3 linked regions of the Sus scrofa genome follow. The protein of the gene in region 1 purifies or fractionates together with the protein of each later gene. This does not show direct contact. Links are inferred from orthologs where the notes say so. Each region holds a gene or a part of one and is shown on either strand. Other genes may lie near its edges.

Region 1 (6,729 bases):
GATGTGAGTGCAGCTGGGGCTGGGGTGGCCAGCAGAGCGGAGGGAGGGGGCAGATACAGGGGTGGAGGAGGGTGCTGGGATAGACACAGACCCTGGCAGGTGCAGGCCGGGTAAGTCTGGGGGATTGCTTTGGTGGGAGCGAAGGTGGGCAGCAGTGATGGGACAGATCTGCTATGTCGGGAAGACTGATTGGGAAGGACTACAAAGAGAGGAAAAAAAGAATCTGGAAAGTTCGTCAGAAATCTCTGGAATCTATCCAGGCTTTGGGGTTGGTGCCTGCTCCAGGGAGAGAAGCATGGGGATGAGCTGAGGAAGACGAATCCAGAAAGGTACCTGAGACTGAAGACAGAGCCAGGAGCTGGTGAGGGTCTCAGCCGAAGCCCAGGGAGTGGACATCAAAGCCAGCCAGCTGGGAGGTGAGGAAGAGGGCTGGCCAGGAAGGCACATGCGCAGTCCCTACCTTGTGACCCAGATGCAGCACGCGCACGTCCGCGTACTCCATCTTGAGCACGCTGTTCTCCAGCAGGAACTTGCTGCGCAGGTCATCCAGGTACGCGGCCCGCATCGGGTCCACTGCCTGGCAGGGAGGGGGCCGACAGGGAACGCGTGTCAGCAGCCCTCCTGCCCATTGGGGCTGCCCTACACCGGTTTCCACAGGCCAGACTTGCCTTGAGGGTCTGGAAGTACTGCAGCGTCTCCTTCTCATACAGCAGGGGGTCCAGCGCCCGCATCAGCAAGATGATGGTGAGCAGGCACCCTGGGGAGATGGCAGGGAAGAGGATGGTCTCCCTTGGATCCTCCTCTGCTCCCATCCTCTGGAGAGCTGCCCTGCTCTCCCCAAGGGGCCCCCAGAAAAGGGCCTCCCTGGAGGAGCAGGATCTCAGGGAATTGGACCTCACATTTATTCTCAGGCTCCAGCTCCTGCAGCTCCTTACAGGATTCCAGCTCAGACTGCAGCACCGTGGACTTCTCCACTGACAGCTCACACCTGAGGGTGGAGGAAGTGGGGGAGGGGGTGATGCCCACAAACAGCCCTGGGCACCAGTCCTCCCTAGTATCCAGGCCAAGACCATCTGCTTAAGCCCTCAGCCCCCCCGCCCCAGCTGCCTGATGCCCAGAGTCCAGAGCCTTGCTCCTTGTCTGTATGTTCCCTGTCATCACCTGAAGAGCTGTTCATCTGTGGCTGAGTCTCGGCACCAGCCCTCTTGGCGGCCTGAGAGAAAGAGTAGGTGGAAGGAGGGGACACCCATGAGAGGAGGAGAGGAGTGGGGGGCTGCTGCGAGAGGTGGAAGCTGCAGGCTGTGTCACCTTTTAAGAGCACACACTCCTTCTGGGCATTGCCTGCTGTCCAAATGACACGAAACGTATGTTGCGGCAAATGGTCGTTGAGGGAGGCGGCAGGCAGGTCACAGAGCTGGGAGCATGACGTTAAGGAAAAGCCCAGGCTGCACCCACTTTTCTGACTGTCCTATCCCAACCCTGCCCCAGCACCCCCAACTCTGCCCCACCACTCCTGGGATACCCAGACATGGCTAGGCCGGTTCCTGCCATCTGGGGTCCTCCACTCCACGGACAGGGGTGACTCATTAACCATGAGCAGCAAGGTCTCCGTGCTGGGGCCCACCTGGCACAGAGGACAAATGAGAGACCCATCACTCCAACAGCACCAGGCCCCCAATCTACGATGTTCTCCGGTAAAGGGTGCAAGACTCACTAGGAGGGGCCGGGAGAAGGAGACAGTCAGACAGGCCTCATCCCGGCTCACGTGCAGGCAGCGCAGGGCATCCTGGGGATCAGCTGCAAGGGAGACAACAGGCTTCCTTATATATTCTTCCATTTGTTCCAAGCTCTAATCACTAAGCCTCTTTCCCCACTGCTCACCTCGTCCCAGGAGCCAGCGATGGTAGAACCAGGCACTCTGATCGTTGGGGTCAGTGAAGAAGGCGTTCTGCACCAGCTCCAGCTCTGTGGGGGCCAAGGAGATATGGGGCTGTGGTTGGGACCCTGCTGGGCTCCTGGCCACCCCGACATCCCACCTCCTCTTTGGAGAACCTGCAGCCCTCAGTTTCACTTATACGCTGGCCTTGCCCAGGGGCTACTACATATGTCAGTTTTTTTCTTTGCCATTGGACACCTGAGCTTGCTGCAGCCAGGGGCTGGATCTTGTGCACCCTCAGAGCCAGGCACAAAGTGGGTACTCAGTAAACCCAGTGGCAGGTTCGGAAACAGGGCTAGGCATCAGGGCTGGAAAGGCGGCACTGCACAGCACCCCCTGACTCTGCTTACCTTTGAGCAGCACATCCTCAGGGAGGCGCCCCTGGGGTCCAGAGTCTGGCTGGGGGTGCAACTGGGGCAAGAGGCAGGAGCGGTAATGCCAGGAGGAGTAGTTGGAGAAGTTTCGGGTGATGAGGCTGTCCGTGAAGGCTAGCTCCTCCGCGGGGGGGACAGCTGCCTGGGAGGCCACAAACCGCCGGTAGTCCCAGCAGTGAACTGCAGGGGAGGGCAGACGGCACATCTCAGATGCAGGGCCAGAGGAGCTCCCCGGTTGGTACCCGTGGAGTTCCCTTGGAGGCCCTGAGAAACACTTCTACGCACTCCACGGAGGATGCATTTGGTTCCATCATTCATCCCTTTGGCCATCAGCTCACTGGGCCTGTCAGGCCATCCCTGCCCACTCTGGGCCTTACTGAGGTGCTGTACCAGGATGTGGGGCAATTGAGCCCTGTGGGGACAGAATCTGCAGGCACGTACAGTTCCGCTCATCAACCTCGAGGAAGCGGGCACACAACTCCAGCTCCCGGGCCCAGTTGGGCTCTGGCAGGCGACCCAGCAACCAGCAGCGGTGGTGCCAGGTACCATAAGACTTGGGGTTCACCCTCAGACAGCTCTCCAGGAAGCCCAGTTCTGCCTTCACCAAAGCGGCCAACTCTTCCGGGGACCTGCACCCAGAGGGGAATGAGGGTCAGGGCCCTCCAACACCCAATCTCAGCTCACCTCTGACTTTTTGCACCCAGCCCTCCACTGCCTTCTGCCTATGCCTCGGCTGCCCCATTCGTCCTCTATCCTTGGACCCAGGTGGGGCAAGGCCAGAGCCATCTTCCCTGGGCCCTGAACCCCTACGCACTTCTGGACCTCCAGCCGCTGAAGCACCTCCCGTCGACAGTTCCAGAGTGTGGCAAAGTCAGGGTTGGCTCCCAGAATCTGGCTTGTCAGTTCCAGCACTGACTCATCCAGCTCTCCAGCCTGACGCTGAGAAGATAGACAGCAGGGTCAGAGATCATATCAATCTCCCACCACAGGACTGAAGACCATAAATAGAACTACAGACTGTTCTGTGAATCCCACACTATACAACAGGTACTCTACAGAGCACTATATGGGTTTCCTCGTATTCTTTCGTTTAATTTTAACAACAATCTTAAGTGTAATTATTAGCCCCATTTTACAGACGGGCAAACTGAGGTCCAAAGAGATTTAATAGTTTGCCTAAGGTCACACAGCTATTAAGTGATAGAAACCAGATGTGGATCCAGGCGGTCTGACTCTAAGGCCCAGCTCTTGGCCTCAGTGCTGTACTAAGGGAGCCGCTGCAGGAGGGGGCTACGTCTGAGGGCCCCACCTTCTGGAAGACGGTCTGGGTGGCTGTCTGGTATAGCTTCAGCTTCTGTTCCCGCTCTAGCCTTTTGGCTTCTGCTTGCTCTTCTGATGTCTTCACCTTCAGGCGCCCGTGCTACAGGGATGCGCGGGTTGGACGAGAACAGGCTGCCTTGCAGGGGCAAACCCACCAAACCCCCACTGCGGAGTCTCAGGTTTATATCTGGCAAGGCCACGCGGGGCAAGGCCGTGGGCATGGGCATGCGGAGGAGAGGGGCTAGGTTCAGGGTTCTCACCATGGTGCTGGCTCAGGTTCAGGGCAGGGGAGGGTCCAGGAGCGCCCGTGAAATCTGAGGAAAGAAGTGTCAATCATGGGAACCCCGCCCCTGGGAGCCCCGCCCCTAGCTGTCCCCAGGAAGTCGCACGCGAGCCTGGGCGGAGACCTCTGGGGTAATAAGGGGTCCTGGGACAGGCACTGCAAGTCCAAAAGGCACCCACCGAACTGGGGCTTGCACCCGTGCGGCCCTATCCAGAGTCCGATCCGCTGGGGCTGGACCCAATCTGCCGCACTTAAGTGATCGGGACAACTCCCCACCCAATGGGTGCCGCTACCCGCCTGCCCCATAGCTCGCAAGCACCGCCGCCCCCTGCGCGCGGACCCACCTGTACTGCGAGGAGGACTGCGGAACGCAGAGATGCGGCGCCCGCCAGCGAGCCCAAACGTTGGCTAGAGCGGCGTCACGCCTCGGCTCTCTGAAGCGCAGCGCCCTCTGCAGGCCTGGCGAAGGGCCTGCGGCGGAGCCGGCAGTCCGGAAACGCCAAGTCTCAGTCTGTTAGGCCGCTGGTGCGAAAGCAGTGCGGTCTGCACTTCCCGGCAGCTCTTCAAAGTGTGTTTCAGTTGAAAAGTTTTCGCCACCAGCCGGAAGCCCACGCCGTTATCGCTCGCTTGACCTCACTCTGGCCGCACTGTACACCTCTTAGTTGCCAAATCTAAGGGATGGGCTTTCCTGTCTTTCATTGACTTTTGCATCATTTGTTGTTGTTGTTGTTTTTAACCACTTTTCTGGTCATGGTTTTATTTTATTCTATAAATGATTTTTATTTTTTCCACTATAGCTGGTTTACAGTGTTCTGTCAATTTTCTACTGTACAGCAAGGTGACCCAGTCACACGTACACATATACATTCCTTTTTCTCACATTATGCTCCATCATGCTCCATCATAAGTGACTAGATAGAGTTCCTAGTACTAGACAGCAGGAGACTTTTGCAGCATTTGATGCAACTGACCTCCCTCGGACCCCCTGTCCTGGCTTCTCCTGCACACTTGCCCTCCCCTTCTCATCTGTTAACTTTCTCCTCCCCTAAATGTGGGTTTCCAGGGCCCTTCCCTCACTCCTTTCCATTTTGAACACCTTCCCGGGAGAATGTTCACAGACCCAAGTCTTCAACTGCTTGGAGCTGGAGCTCCCCAGAGTTCTATCCTGGGTCCACAGAACTTCTGACCCACAATTTCCCTGGGTGACTTCATCCACAGTCGTGGTTTTAATTTCTACCTGTAAGTTTGATGACATTCAAACATGTCTCCAGCCCAGATGTCTTGCAAACTTTAATATTAGAAAAAAATATACACACAAACACACATTCACAAGCTTATTAGGTAGCACCTAGTTGTCCCATCAAACTCCAAAAGTTGAGAGATATTACTGTCTCCCCTTCCAGTCTAAACTTTAGCCTTTATGTTTCCTATTTTAGTGGATGACCCCCCCCAACATTTCTTTAGTATCCTTCCATTCCCACTACATTAAAAACTTAAGCATATTTATTCCTGGGATTGTTGAAAGTCTTTTCAGTGTTCCCCCATCTCCATCCTGTCCCCTCTTTTATCAGTTCATCCCTGTGCTGCTGAATCAGTCTTTCCGAAATGTAAATTCAGTCATGTTACATCTCTGCCTAAAACCCTTCCATGGCTCCTGACAACTTTTTAGGAAAGACTTTGAACGTCTCAGGTCAGCACATCAAGATTCTTGGCACATGGGACTTGCTTGCCCCTCGGGTGTCATGTCCTGCCTGTCCCTGTTAAAAACCCTTCATTACAGCTGATAGAAGGACTTGCAGTTTCCCAGGCATCTAGTCTGTTCCCTCTTCTTTATTCTTTTTCTTCCACAGCCCTTCCTTTGCCAGAATAACTCCTTTTATCTTTTTTTAATTTTTTTTCTTTTCAGGGCCACACCTGCAGCATATGGAAGTTCCCAGGCTAGGGGTCAAATTGGAGCTGCAGCTGCTGGCCTATACCATAGCCACGGCAATGCAGAATCTGAGCCACATCTGTGATCTACACCACAGCTTGCAGCAACACCAGATCCTTAACCCATTGAGTGAGGCCAAGATTGAAACCATATTCCCACAGACCCTCTGTCAGATTGCCCACAGTGCAGATCTGCCAGCTACAATCTTACATCATAGTCACCAAGGGTGGAGGAAAGGGGGTAGAGGAAGACTGAATAAGGAAGCATGAAATGTTTTTTAATGGTTAGCAATCCTGAAACTAGGAAGTTTGAGTCAAGCAGGCTTAAGAGAGGAAATGAGTCTCAAATTTGCTTCCAAGAAGGTGGGTCCTGGTTTTGGAAAGAAGGTAGGAAAGGCATTTTAGGCATGTGCTATGACAGGAAGGTGGGGGAGTGAAAGCCAAACAGACTTAGCTGGCTGGCAGACAGAAGCCGAACCAGGTGCCTTTGGAAAGATAAGAGCAGTGGAATCAATGACAAGCCTCTGGCTTTAAGGCAAAAGGAGATGTCAGGAGTTATATTTGGCCTCTTGTGTGGGATAAGTGGGAACTGTGCAGGTGTCTGAGGGCCACAATCTAAATGACGCTTGAGGAAGGGATTTTGCCGCCTTCTATATAGAGATAAGAACAAGCAATAACTGAGTGCTGACCGAGCTCCAGACATCTTTTTTGATGCACTCACTCTCTATGTGAAGTAGGTGTTATTTTACAATGAGGAAACAATGCATACAGTTCACAGAGGCTAAGTTGCTTGCCCAAGGTCATACAGCTGGCAGGGAGTACAGCCAGTGAAACTGAGTTCCTCTAAAACAAGTTCTCAGAGTTTCCATTGTGGCTCAGAGGGTTAA
Region 2 (6,935 bases), on another chromosome or scaffold:
TGAGTTAGTCTACTCCACAGCCCATTTAGGGGAAGAACTCCAAACATAGTATGTATGGTGGACTTTAGAAAGGAAAGGGAGGCAGGGAGTTCTCTTATGGCTCAGCAGGTTAAGGATCTGGCACTGTCACTGCAGTGGTTTGGATCACTGCTGTGGGGCAGGTTTGATACCTTGCCTAGGAACTTCTACATGTGTGGGCTCAGTGGGAAAAAAAAAAAGAAAGAAAGGAAAGAGATGCAGAATAATTCTCTATATGGTCTTCAGAAAGCAAGAAGGATGCAATGAAAAGCTCACATTGACTTAGAACGGCTCTGAGGATATCAGGAACCTCAAACAGATCCTCAGAATAGGCAATACAGTAAATATCACAAGGGCCAGGACTAGGTTCTCAGTCAATATGGACTGAATACCCTACAAAAAATGAGCGTCTGTCACTACACTAAATGGTCCCAGGCCACTGTACATTCTGATGTAGGTTTGCCTTTCAGTTGTCTCTCTCCTTACCCGTAAGGATATGAACTAACCCTTATGTCTAATGACACCCCCACACACACAGAGCTTTTGCAGAAGTTGATAACATTTCCTATATCTTAATAGGATGCTTCTAATATGCTCTGAGTATGCTAGAATTATTTCTAAAATAAGAATGAATATATTCTAAGTGAGAGAAGGAGGGATTCCCCTATGTAAGAAACATGCCAATATTATCACCTAACTCTTGTAACTTCCATCTTGCCTGCCCTTCTATTGATGGCTCTGCTGCAGATTACAGATTATACAGGTTGCCAGATAAGTTACCTCCAGAGAGGTGTTATGTTATTAGGACTATTTTTAACCTGTAACCAATGATACTTCTCTGTAACCCACAAAATTATCATTCAAATAAATGTCTTTTTAAATGGCAAAATGTCAAAAATGACAACTGTGCACCCAAACTGAAGGCCCTTTTCTAGACACATCACTGCATCCATTATTGTTCTCTCCTTTGAGACTCCTTTTGGCCCTCCTTTCTTATTCCATTTGCTTCCATATTTTCCATTTCGAGTACTTTATCTTATTCCTCTGCCTTTGGGTACCTGAGAGATATTTCCTGTATTTTGTAATCAGAGGGTTACTTAACAAGAGAATATATACAAAGCTTTATTTTCCCATAATTTCTTCAAAACATAATCTTAAAGAAAATGTTTTATTATGAAGAATGAAAATATAAATTAATCAAGGTCAAAGGGATTTATAATATTAACTATAGATTATTTTACTTGATGAAGCAATTGTCTCAACATTTTAACTAGAACTAAATCTGTTTTTAGTTCTTTTTCTCTTAAAACTGCATCTCATTGCCTATTTCTTCATGTTTCTAATACAGGCATGATTAATTCCACTTTTGTTAATACAACTGAATCTTTAAAATACTACTTTTTCTATGATTTACTCAAGCAAGCACATTTAGTAAGGCAAAACATTTTATTTATTTATTTTATGTATTTATATTTATTACATTTTATTTTTCTTTTTTTAGGGTCACATTTGTGGCATATGGAAATTCCTGGGCTAGAAGTCAAATTGGAGTTGCAGCTGCCAACCTATGCCACAGCTACAGCAATAGAAGATCCAAGCTGCGTCTGTGACCTACAGCTCACTGCACCGCCAGATCCTTAATCCCCTGAGGGAGGCCAGGGGAGGAACCCATATCCTGGATACTAGTCCTGTTTTTAACCTTCTGAGCCACAACGGAAATTCCCCACGCAAAACATTTTAAAGGCTACTTTCAGCAAACTATTTTGGAAGATAAATATTCCAAACACATTAAAATAATTCTTGTTAATTAATGACTGGGGTTACTGGATTCATTTATTTGGGAAATGACTTTTACCCAATTTTTCCACTTTGACATACCTAAAAATAAAGCTACATATCATAAATTTGAGTAATGTACTTGATAAAAATGTGTTCATTAAGTGATATGAAAAACTTTTAACTTCAAATAAGTTTTCCCCATACTTTGAGAAATAACTTTACTCTCATGGAAATAAGTCTAAGATGAATCTTTTCCCAAATATCCAGGATGCCTCCTAATGCAATTTTCTGGATCAGTCACAGAATCTTCCTAACTCTCTTATTTTATGAGATTCCAACAGGATGGATGTAGTCCATATTATAAACTGAACTAGATGGCAAAATATTTCTTATATAAGAATTAACAGCACTTAATAATAAGAATTAGCACTCATCAATTAAAATTTTAATCAAGATAAGAAAAAAATCGCAAGGACTCAAGGTAATTTTTAAAACACCCTAAGTTCTGAGGTAGCAACAACAAAAAAGGGAGTAACATAGGACCCAAGTATGGATAACAACTATTCTAAAGCAGATGTTGTTCCAAGTTTTAGGATAGACTGGAGAGAATAGAGTCTAACTGAACCCTTCCAGCTCTCATCCAACATCTGTTCATAGCAGCTACAGCAAGGTTATCTGTAGCCATGCGGTGTTCAGGTTGAGAATAAATATGTCCTTGCTGTTTTGAGAACAATTACCCATGTACAAGAATAAGAGAATTTTTAGTTAGACAACACCTGAAAGGCTATCCAGTAAAGCCTTCCTATATTCAAAAACAAGGAAACTGAGACTCAGAGAGATTAAGTGCCTAGCTCTAGAAATTCACACAGCTAGTTAATGGCCAAGCAGGGTCTAGAACCAAGTTTTTCCAATTATTTCTATTCATATGGGTTAACTCTGAGGGTCAGAACCACTTATTCTCATTCTGGGATGGAATGGGCCTTTGGAAATTTACCAGTTGTGTGATCTTATGCAAACTGCGATCTCTCCAAGCCTTTTCCCCTCCTCTGTAAAGTGTAGATAAGACCTATTCTAACTAGGTTGTTGTGAGGATTACATATGGCTTGTAAAGTGCTTAGCACATCAATTAGCCAGTAATACACAATCGAAAATAGACAGTTTTATTATTTTTACTCCCGACCTGGAAACATGGCCACTCCTACTATTTGAGAAGACAATGAACTGAATTCATTAACACAATGGACAGGGTCTCATACACCAGAGCTTCTCCAGCCTACCACGTTCTGCAGACAGGAGAAAACCCCTCCCTACAAACTATTTCACTCCATCTAAAATCCATCCTTTACATTGTTAAAAACAATACATGAACTGCTGCCAAATGTTTTCTGCCACATGCTGTAACGTGTAATTTGTCAACTAGAAATTGAAGGGGAAGTTCTGTCACCACCCAAAACATGGAGAATAAACGATGGGGAAGAAAAGGGGGAAGATAAGATCACACACCTGAACTGGACACGCTTGTTCTCAGCTAATTTAGCTGTGGGTAGATAAGTGAGTGGTAGAAAACAAAACGCTTTCTTTCAGCACCATAAAGCAGGAATAATGGCTACCTCAAAAAATTACAACCCCCTAGGATTCTCAAGACAATAGAAAAGAATCCATTTCCTCGCTTTAGTAAATTAAAACGTACATGGGCAACAACTAACACGCTGTATCCGGGCTGCACTGCACCCTAAAACTTTATAAATATATGAAAAATTCCTACGAATGGCGAGACAAAATGATGGGGAGGATCACCTTGAAATCCACAAGAAGGAAATCATAATGTCATGCCAAAGGTGTCTCCATTGATAAAATCCCAACCCTCCATTCTCATGACACTGTACACCCACCTCCCTCTAAGGAAATTACAGGAATCACCCGCAGCAACCAACCTCGGCAATCGGCATCGACCAGATCGACCCCTACTCAAATGGCGCTAAGCACAGCCGGTCCAAGCCCCTCCCTGGAGCTGCCAAGTCCCGCGCTGACTCCAGACTACCTCACTTCCTTTCCGTCCTCCCTCTTATGCTCGACCCCCAACATTTCTCGCCGACCCTTGCCACTGACAGAGAGGGTAGGAACGGGAAAGACTTCCTACAGTTTGTCCAGGGAGTACCATAGCCACACATACCCGTCCCTATTACGATCACATCAAACTCCGAGGGGAGATTTTCCGCCATCTTGACAGGAAATGTGTCATGTGACTATTGCTAGGTGGAAATGAGATCAAGTTAGGCTTTGCAGAGGCAGAAGGCGGAAGGGGAAACAGTGCATTCTGGGTATTGTAGTTCTCGAGTGGCAGGTCCAGGTAGAAAGCTACAGCGTTATAGTTGAAATGTTTTACACGAGTGTTAAAAGCTGTATTCATTTTTCGGGCTAAGTGCAGTCGCGACTTTAGCCTGGAGTTTTGAGACACAAAAGAGATTTTTACTCTGACGGCTAGGATGAATGTGGGAAAACCTGGGAACCCCATGACACTGATGAAGCAAGAATTGTTAGGAGACAGGGAGGGCACAGTGAAATTGAAAGGGGATTGCTCTGTGAACAAAGGAAATTTTAATTCCAACCTGGAAACTGTTGCTTCCATCTTGTCTCTACTTTCGTTTTGGCCCCCCAGGCATAATTTTTCACACCAATACCTTCAAACTCTATCTGTTATCTTTTTGTCTTTAGGTCGCCCAAATGAAAAGCCACAAAAAAATTTTCACCCTAGTTTCGGCAGACTGGAACTCTCACTGCGTCTGTATTTGTTTTAGTTAGTCTAAACAGCCAACCTGGCAATATATATTTGCAAAATTAGTCTTGCTTTACAGAAGGAAAAAAAGATATGAAGGCATAGTAGTTGCTTCCTAGGCATTGATTGATTCTGAATATGGTTTTACATATATATATATATATATATATATATATATATACAGGAGTTCATACAAGATTCCCCCAGTAAGGTACCGCCTAAATGATCAAGGTAAAGTGAACATATATATATATATATATATGCCTTTTTCTTTTTTTTTTTTTTTTTTTAGGGCCGCACCTGCAGCATATGGAGGTTCCCAAACTAGGGATTGAATAGAAGCTACAGCTGCTGGCCTAAGCCACAGCCACAGCAGTGCAGGTTCTCAGAGGCAGCTACGACCTATACCACAGCTCATGGCAACACCAGATCCTTAACTCCCTGAGCGAAACCAGGGATCCAACCGACAACCTCATGATTACTAGTCGGATTCGTTTCCACTGCGCCACAATGGGGACTCCACAATGGACTTTCTGTTAAAGTGATTGTATTTGATGAGGGGGCTTAGATTGCCTGTGCCAAGCAGCTAATGCAACTCTCATAGGTATTTTGAAGTTTGATCTCCTCCCACCTGCATCCCATTTCCGTTATTTAAAATGCTTTGCTGTCTGACAATACCAAAGAAAAAAGAGAGGGAGAGGGTGCATGGAGTGAGAAAGGATACTTCTTTAATTCCAGAAATTCATTGTATAGTTGTTTTACAAGAGTGTCAAAATCATTCAGAGAATGCGATGGTGGGCCTTCCCTTAAACCACCGGACTGACCTCTGTGTTGTTTATGGTTCTTCAGTCACACTTTGTTCCTTCAGCATGGAATGATCTTCCCATTCTCTGGCTAACATTTATCCCCAAGATTCAGTGCTGCTTCTACCACCACCTCCTTACATCTCCTCCCTATACTGGGTTACATTTCCCTTCCCTACCACTTGGTCATAACCTCCCACATTGCACTGAAAATTATTGGCATTTATGTTGGGTCCTATACAGGACACACATGCCCCAAAATATACACCCAGGTATACAAAACCCTAAATTATAAGCCCCTACGTGACAGGGATTGTCCCCTATTTCTCTTTTTACCCCCTGCATCTAAAATAACTCTCGTGTGTAGTAGGAATTCAATAGTGTTTGCTGAACTGAGCTTGGTTCTAATAGATGGTAAGTACTGTGGAGACAAGAACTGAGTCTACACTTTTTTTTTTTTTTTGTCTTTTTGTCGGGCCACACCTGCAGCACATGGAGGTTCCCAGGCTAGGGGTCGAATCAGAGCTGTAGCCGCCGGCCTACGCCAGAGCCTAGCAACGCCAGATCCGAGCCACATCTGCGACCTGCAGCACAGCTCACTGCCACGCTGGATCCTTAACCCACTGGGGAAGGCCAGGCATTGAACCCGCAACCTCATGGCTCCTAGTCGGATTCATTAACCACTGAGCCACGGTGGGAACTCTGAGTCTACACTTTTATATCTGCCCATCATCAGCATGTGTCTTATATTTTGATGATACTCAATAGTTATCTTGAGTTCCATAAAAATTCTTTAATACTGTATTTTATTGGATTGTTTTGCTGCATTTTTTGTGTTTTTGCCATATCAATAGTAATATTATACATGTTGTATAAACATCTTTTATGGATTCTCTTGTTGTTTTGATCAATTCTCTTGCCATAGGGTCCTCTCATAAATATTTTGTGTAATAGAGATTACTCTGAAAAGTGAAATGTATTGTTCAGTAAATCACTCTGCCATTTGTCTTGATACAAAAAGAAAGTTTTGAGTAGTATCAGAAGTGAAATAGATCTTATCTGTGAGATCTGTGAGACTCTAAAACCAGCAGAAGAAATGAAAATTAATAGATTTCCCAGGGTAAACCAGGAAGCTTTCCAAAATTTCCTCTAACAGTGAGAAACCATAGATGGGTAGTTAAAAACATGATAAATAAGAGTATTTCTGTCTTACTTCATACAGGTGTGTGTGTGTGTGTGTGCACGTGTGCGTGCATATCCTTTTCAATATGACTGTATCTAACTTTCTATGGATTCAGAAAATTCCTAACAAATATAATCACATTGTGAAGATACAACTCATTAAATCGTTCAATTTTCCTTAAATATTCATTGAGTACCTACTATGTGCAAGGCACTGATTTAGATGCTGGAATTACAACAATGAACAGAACAGGCACAATCCTCTGTATTCATGAAGTTTACATCTAGTGAAGGAAAACAAAATAAACAGGTAATTGCTCTGTAGTGCTAATTTTCCAATATGTTCTGTGCCAAATTTAAAATCCTTTTTTTCCCTG
Region 3 (6,837 bases), on another chromosome or scaffold:
GAACTACCATTTGATCCAGCAATCCCACTCCTGGGCATCTATCCAGAGAAAACCACAACTGGCAAAGACACATGTACTCCAATGTTCATTGCAGCACAATTTTCAATAGCCAAGACATGGAAACAACCTAAATGTCCGTCGACAGAGGAGTGGATCAAGAAGAGGTGGTACATATATGCAGTGGAATATTACTCAGCCATTAAAAAGAACAAAATTACTCAGCCATTAAAAAGAACGAAATACCAGCATTTTTTGCAACATGGATGGACCTAGAAACTATCATGCTAAATGAAGTCAGCCATACAATGAGACACCAACATCAAATGCTTTCACTGACATGTGGAATCTGAAAAAAGGACAGACGGAACTTCTTTGCAGAACAGATGCTGACTCAGACTTTGAAAAACTTATGGTCTCCGGAGGAGACAGTTTAGGGGGTGAGGGGATGTGCTTGGGCTGTGGGATGGAAATCCTGTGAAATTGGATTGTGATGATCATTGTACAACTACAGATGTGATAAATTCATTGAGTAATAAATAAAATAAAATAAAGGTAATGGTAGGGAAATGGGAAGAGCTGTGTGTGCTGTTCCCTCCACACTCATCCCCCTCCCTTACCCCCCAGAGGTTCTCCAGGCCACAGCAGGCTCCGTTTTGGACGGTTAACAGGTGTTTTCCATGAGTTTTTACATTTCAATATTACAACGCTGTGGAATTTATATGCCTTAACAGTGACCAGAAAGGCTTTGAGAACTAAGATGTCAACCAAGGGCACTGAAGAACAGCTGGAAAAAGATATTGGAGATCAAGTTCATTTCACTTGCACCTACCGAGTCCAGCTCACTCAGTAAACTGGTTACATCTGCACGCTTCTCCTACTTTAACAGAATGAGATGCAGGCACAATCTGAAAATGCTTTTTATTGTGGCAAAATATGCAGAACATAAAATTTATCATCTCAGTCATTTTAAGTGAGCAGTTCAGTGGCATAATCAACTATCTACCTGTGCTACCATCCCCGCTCTTCATTTCCAGAACTTTGACAACCTCCCGAACTGAAGCTCTGTACCCGTGAACCGCTAACTCCCCATCCCGCCCTCCCCGCAGCCCTGAACTATTCTACATTCTGTCATTAAGAATTTGCCTATTCTCAGTCCCTCACAGAAGCGGAATCATATATTTGTCCTTTTGTGTCTGGCTTATTTCACTTAGCATAATGTTTTCAAGATTTATCTATGTTGCAGCACGTATTAGAATTTCATTTCTTTTTATGATGGAATAATATTCATTGTATGTACATATCGCATTTTGTGTATCCATTTTTCTGTGGATGGACATTTGGTTTATTTCCACCGTTTGGCTATTGGGAATACTACTACTATGAACACTGGTGGACAAAATCATGTTCCAGCCCCTGCTTTCAATTAATTCTTTTGGCTATATATCTAGAAGCAGAATGGCTGGATCATACGATAAATCCATGTTTTTTGAGCCACTGCAGTCACAGTGGCTGCATCCTGTTGAGCCACAACAGGAGCTCCTGTCTTATTTTCTTTATGGCACATTTCACAACACTACATATTTGATTATCATCTGTTCTCCCAACACGACTGGAACATAAGCTTTATGAGGACAGGAACTCAGCACCAATGAAAGAATGAATGAATACCTTGGGAAAAAACACAGAGTCCCTCTTCATTTAAGCATGCATCAAACTACTATTTATTAAGACCTTACTGTAGACTAGGCACATGTTGTAAACACAACGGATATTAGGCACAGAGCTTGTTAAATGGTTGTATAAATCTAAAATATAAAATTAGAGTTTTTAAAAGGACTGGGTGGGTGAGTCCCCTAGAGGACAAGTCCAGATCGGAAGCCTTAAGAAAAAATCACCAGCTATTGCTCCATGCACCATGATAGGAAGTAACCTTGTCTTGACAATTAGATTATATCTCCAAGGCCCACAAAACCGGGGTTCAGTGAAGCTAGCAATTTTCTAGGGATCTTCTAATGGAGGTGGGAGACACACTCCCTCGTGGAGGGCAGTTCCTTCGCCCTTGCACAGGCACAGTGCTGGCCAGCGGCGCCCAGGACAGCCTGTAGGACCAGCTCAGGACTGTGCACCCCGCAAAGACTACGGTCAGTTCCGGGACCTATGCTTGCCTTGCCCTCTATTTTCACTGGGTAAAAGGCCAGAGGTGCTGCCCCAGGTATAGCACCCACCTCTCTGCAACTGCGAGATGTGGGCTGGAGCTCGAGGGCGCCGCCTCAGTCGCCACAGCGCCCCTGCATGGAGGACAGCAAGGGCAAAATGAGCAGGCCTGGGGTGCAGCCGGGGCTTACCTCAAGTGTGCAGTACGCGAGCGGGTAGTAACAGCTTCCCGGAGAGGGAGAAGCCAAAGGATCCTGCCATAAATGGTCCTTAATGAGGGAGTGAGTGGGGAAAGAGGAGAGCCCTTCCAGCTGGGTGAGGAGGGCTGCGGAGAGAGGAGCCCCCGGCGATGCTTTGCCTCCAGGCCCCCACGGACTGTGCCGGCGGTGGCGGGTTACTGGGGACCTCAGGGCGTGGGGAGAGGACCCGGCGAATCAGGAAGCAGCTTGGACAGCGAGCAGGGGAGGGGTTAAGGTTGGGAGGTGCTCCGGGGCGGGGCTACAGGGCGCTAGGGGGCGGGGTTACGGCTGGGAGGGGCGTAGGGGCGGGGCTACAGGGAGGGAAAGGGCGGGGTTACGGTAGGGAGGGGGTAGGGGCGGGGCTACAGGGCGGGAAGGGGCGGGGTTACGAGCGGCGTCAGCGGTCTGCGCAGGGGCAGAAAGGGGCGACGGGGACCTCTGAGTGCGCAGAGCCCCGCGCAGAGCCCCAACCAGAGCGGTGCGCGCCGGCGCCTGGCGTGCACACCCAGAGAGGTGGCGGGGCGGCGAGGGCGCCGTGGGGCCCTCACGCCGCCTATCGGGGCGACTACGGGTGCGGGGCACTGCTGCGCCGGAAGCATCCTGCTGCTGCTCGTCCTCTACTTCAAATTCCAGCGGCTCCGCAGCCCCGCTTCGCCGGGCGCCCCCTGCTCATCGTTAGCCTCCGCCACCTGCTGCCTTCCGTTCTCGCGGCCGCGGTGGCTTTCGCGCCCCACAGAGGGGCGGCGCGGATGGTGCGTGAGACGGCTTCATCAGCAGCCTGTAGGGTGAGTGCCGGCGGAGACCGCCTCCTTCTGCGCCCCGACCTAGAGGCTGTGCTCTCCTGACCTCGCCTCCCCCGCCTCGACATCTCTTCCTCCGGCCTCCCCGCCTCACTTCATCCGCTCCCAGACCTCACTCCCTCCACCGGTCCTCCTCGCTCGCTGATCTCCGCCCCTCCCCGTGCTCCCAGGCCCCTCGCCCACCCAGACCCCAGCCTGCTGCCGCAGCTCCTCAATCACCTGCTCGGGAGCTCATCTCACTTGTCTGCTTTCACCTCCTGATTTAATTCAGTAGGGCCCGAGACAGTGGTTTTGACACTTTGAGGAAAGAAACGAGAGGGTGAAGTCAAGAACTTCAAGAAAAAAAGTGGTAGTATTTGTGAAACTTGGAGAGGGTGATGAGAAGTGATTTAATTCATATATTATTTTGCTAAAATGAGAGGTAGAAATCTGACATAGCAACAATGTGTAAATTTTTTTTTAAAATGCTCATTATCAGTTGTAAACCTTTGCTTTCTAGGAAGTGAAATAGTTTTATTCAGGTCCTCAGAATGCAAATTGTGCTCTATAAGCTATTTTTACTATATTTTCCTCCTTATAGGTTCCACCACACCAAAATATAAGGCGAGATTGCAAAAATGGCTCAGAGAACCCCTACTGAAATGGACAGATAATTAGCTATGCAGCCAGTAGATTTCATTAAACTAGAACTTGATCGTTAATTGAAATTTTTTATTTTTTTATTTTTTTGTCTTTTTGCTATTTTTTGGGCCGCTCCCGCGGCACATGGAGGTTCCCAGGCTAGGGGTCTAATCGGAGCTGCAGCCACCGGCCTACGCCAGAGCCACAGCAACGTGGGATCCGAGCCGCGTCTGCAACACCACAGTTCATGGCAACTCCGGATCGTTAACCCACTGAGCAAGGGCAGGGATCGAACCCGCAACCTCATGGTTCCTAGTCGGATTCGTTAACCACTGCGCCATGACGAGAACTCCCTGAAATTTTTTAAAAAACTACTCTTACTCCTATTGAAGATTTAAATCTCACTGAGATTGACATTTCAAAGGACGAGCTACCCAACGTGTCATTGAAGATGTGATTTTTCCAAGCTTGGGAAAGAAACTATTTTTGTGTGTGTGGTCCAGAAGTTTCACTTATACAAAGATTTGAAATAGAAATGTATATTTCTCAGGTCGTAAGTTTCCTTTTAAAAAGTCCTAAAATCCCTAATAATTTATTACTGCTTTTATCTTAACAGGTTTAGAAGAGCAAAACCTTTGTAGCATTATCAAAATATTGATAATCACTAACCTATGTGGTAACAAACTCAAATATTATGTATGTTATGATTCCTTAATACATACCTACATATATATTTTTTTTTTTCTTTTTTCCCTTTTTATAGCTGCACCTGTGGCCTATGGAAGTTCCCAGGTTAGGGGTTGAATCAGAGCTGCAGCTGCCAGCCTACATCACAGCCAGGCAATACTGGATCCAAGCCTCATCTGCGACCAGCACCACAGCTTGCAGCGTTGCCAGATCCTTAACCCACTGAGCCAGGCCAGGGATTGAATCCGCATCCTCACAGACACTACGTCCAGCTCTTAACCTGCTGAGCCACAATGGGAAGCCCTCTTTTTTTATATTTTGCAGGAAACAAGAAAATGTCGTAGAAATCATAATTTCACTTATTTGATGGCCTCAGTGATTCTGATATTCTAATAATACCAACCCTTTCCCAATAAACATTAATCTGAGAACTTCAACTATATAAGACTTGAAACCTGGGAGGAAGCTATAGGTGTGTGTAGGTGTTGCTATAGATGCAGTAGATTGCACTCTTTATATTAATGTCTGATGCCTGCCGGCAGTGTTCAGGCAAGGCTGAGGTTTAAAGAGGGCCGTTCATGCAGAGCCTGACATATCCTCAGTGGCAGATACTGGGTCACAGACGTGAAAGTTCTGATCTACAAGAAAGACTTTGTGCTGGTAAATTCTGTTTCTATTCCAGCTCCGTGCCCGGGAGCTTGGAGACGAGTGTATTGGGGTCTTTATTGGTACCAACGTCCCCCTCTTCCTCATCCGTTCCATCTTGCAGCCCCACCCTGATGTGTCTCCTCGTCTTTTCCATCCTTTTTCTCTCTCTCATCATCCCTGCTCTGGTCCCACCCCAATCAGAAGGAATTTTCTAAGCCAACTAGAAAATTGTGGCTCGCTGGTAACAAACCTGACTAGTATCCATGAGGATGCAGGTTCAATCCCTGGCCTTGCTCACTGGGTTAAGGATCCAGCGTTGCCGTGAGCTGTGGTGTAGGCTGGCAGCTGCAGCTCCAATTCAACCCCTAGCCTGGGGACTTCCATATGCCACAGGTACAGCTCTAAAAAGCAAAAAAAAAAAAAAAAAAGGCATTTTAACATACAGACCCAGGCCTTTACCTTTTTTACTTACATCTAAAAAATACACGTATGAGGATTTGTATACATACATTTTCCTTTTGATAGACCAGTTGTTTCATGTACCTAAATATTTTTAAATGCTACTTGTTTTATTGAAATTAATCCTTTTGTAATTATCTGAGCGGCGAAGTCAATTGAAATAGTCCCATGTTGCTACCACGAGATCCTAAAGGCAGGTGGGATAAAGAAAAGCCTTCCATTCATCTGTCCTAGAATGACCCGTAGACCGTGTTGGCCGTAAAAATATTCCTCATCGTGACAGTGTGCGCAGAGTACGTAGTCGGTGTCCATAAACACAGTGGAGCCACAAGTTCCTTTAATCTCACAGTTGTGTGTCATTCACATGCTTAGCAAAAGTTACGAAATTATGTCAGTTTTTCTTTATTCTTGTTGGATGTTATTATGTCCATTCTTCATTGTTGAATTGCCTAATTTGGTGAAATGGCTATCTTTTGTTCATTTTCAGGAAATTAGGAAACATGAGGAAGCATTTAAGGACTTGATTTAGTAGAGGTTTATGTCCTGATTACACGTCTGGCTCCACTGGTTGTACTTGCTGTTGCATGAAGTTACTTTCTCTCAATACTGTTGACCACAGTGTTCTTTCTTGAATTTTCTGCTTTCAGAGAAGGGTTCCAGTCACAAAAGCACGTGTGACACGTTGTGACATTCGCTGCTAAGACGAAACGCCGACGTGAGATCCATATACTTGCTGTAGTGTTCTCAGGTGTGATTGGATGTACTTCAGCAGGGTTTTATGCTGCTGACCTGTAAGGAAAAAAAGATATTAAAAAGGGTAACAAACACCCAGGACCTGTACCCTCGGCACTCTGGGGTGATCTGGAACAGTACAAGGTGTTCCAGCATCTTTGCACCTCGTCTGAGCCCTCAGCCTAGACTCATGCACATTTCCTTCCCTGGAAGTTGTCACCAGATGTCTGATGTTCCAGGATGGCCAGCAGTCTCCCAGCAGAGTTTGATGTGATCGTGTTAGGGACCGGTTTGCCTGAATCCATCCTTGCAGCTGCATGTTCCAGAAGTGGTCGTCGGGTTCTGCATCTCGATTCAAGAAGTTACTATGGAGGAAACTGGGCTAGTTTCAGCTTTTCAGGATTGCTCTCCTGGGTGAAGGAATATCAGCAAAGCAGTGACCCTGAGGAAGAAAGTCCTGCTTCATGGCAAGACCTGATCCATGAAACAGAAGAAGC

What was found. Proteins that work in one complex are often made in the same cells at the same time.
Region 2: the proteins of RABGGTA (region 1) and CHM purify together in Homo sapiens (co-immunoprecipitation; 4 studies listed by BioGRID and IntAct, counting the BioPlex papers as one, with this or other methods). This does not show direct contact. The link is inferred for Sus scrofa from reciprocal best matches to the Homo sapiens genes RABGGTA and CHM.
Region 3: the proteins of RABGGTA (region 1) and CHML purify together in Homo sapiens (co-immunoprecipitation; 3 studies listed by BioGRID and IntAct, counting the BioPlex papers as one, with this or other methods). This does not show direct contact. The link is inferred for Sus scrofa from reciprocal best matches to the Homo sapiens genes RABGGTA and CHML.

What each region holds. Positions count from the first base shown.
Region 1 is NC_010449.5:75,019,337-75,026,065, reverse strand, and holds the start of RABGGTA (geranylgeranyl transferase type-2 subunit alpha), read right to left. Parts: upstream 3,939-6,729; 5' UTR 3,894-3,938; coding exon 3,891-3,893; intron 3,731-3,890; coding exon 3,620-3,730; intron 3,250-3,619; coding exon 3,125-3,249; intron 2,940-3,124; coding exon 2,752-2,939; intron 2,491-2,751; coding exon 2,287-2,490; intron 1,966-2,286; coding exon 1,882-1,965; intron 1,798-1,881; coding exon 1,715-1,797; intron 1,625-1,714; coding exon 1,523-1,624; intron 1,415-1,522; coding exon 1,309-1,414; intron 1,214-1,308; coding exon 1,162-1,213; intron 989-1,161; coding exon 900-988; intron 758-899; coding exon 669-757; intron 578-668; coding exon 461-577; intron 1-460. UniProt on the Homo sapiens protein: Catalyzes the transfer of a geranylgeranyl moiety from geranylgeranyl diphosphate to both cysteines of Rab proteins with the C-terminal sequence -XXCC, -XCXC and -CCXX, such as RAB1A, RAB3A, RAB5A and RAB7A.
Region 2 is NC_010461.5:69,062,231-69,069,165, forward strand, and holds the start of CHM (rab proteins geranylgeranyltransferase component A 1), read right to left. Parts: upstream 4,055-6,935; 5' UTR 4,020-4,054; coding exon 3,971-4,019; intron 1-3,970. UniProt on the Homo sapiens protein: Substrate-binding subunit of the Rab geranylgeranyltransferase (GGTase) complex.
Region 3 is NC_010452.4:11,832,689-11,839,525, forward strand, and holds the start of CHML (rab proteins geranylgeranyltransferase component A 2), read left to right. Parts: upstream 1-2,783; 5' UTR 2,784-3,178; intron 3,179-6,255; 5' UTR 6,256-6,580; coding exon 6,581-6,837. UniProt on the Homo sapiens protein: Substrate-binding subunit (component A) of the Rab geranylgeranyltransferase (GGTase) complex. Binds unprenylated Rab proteins and presents the substrate peptide to the catalytic component B.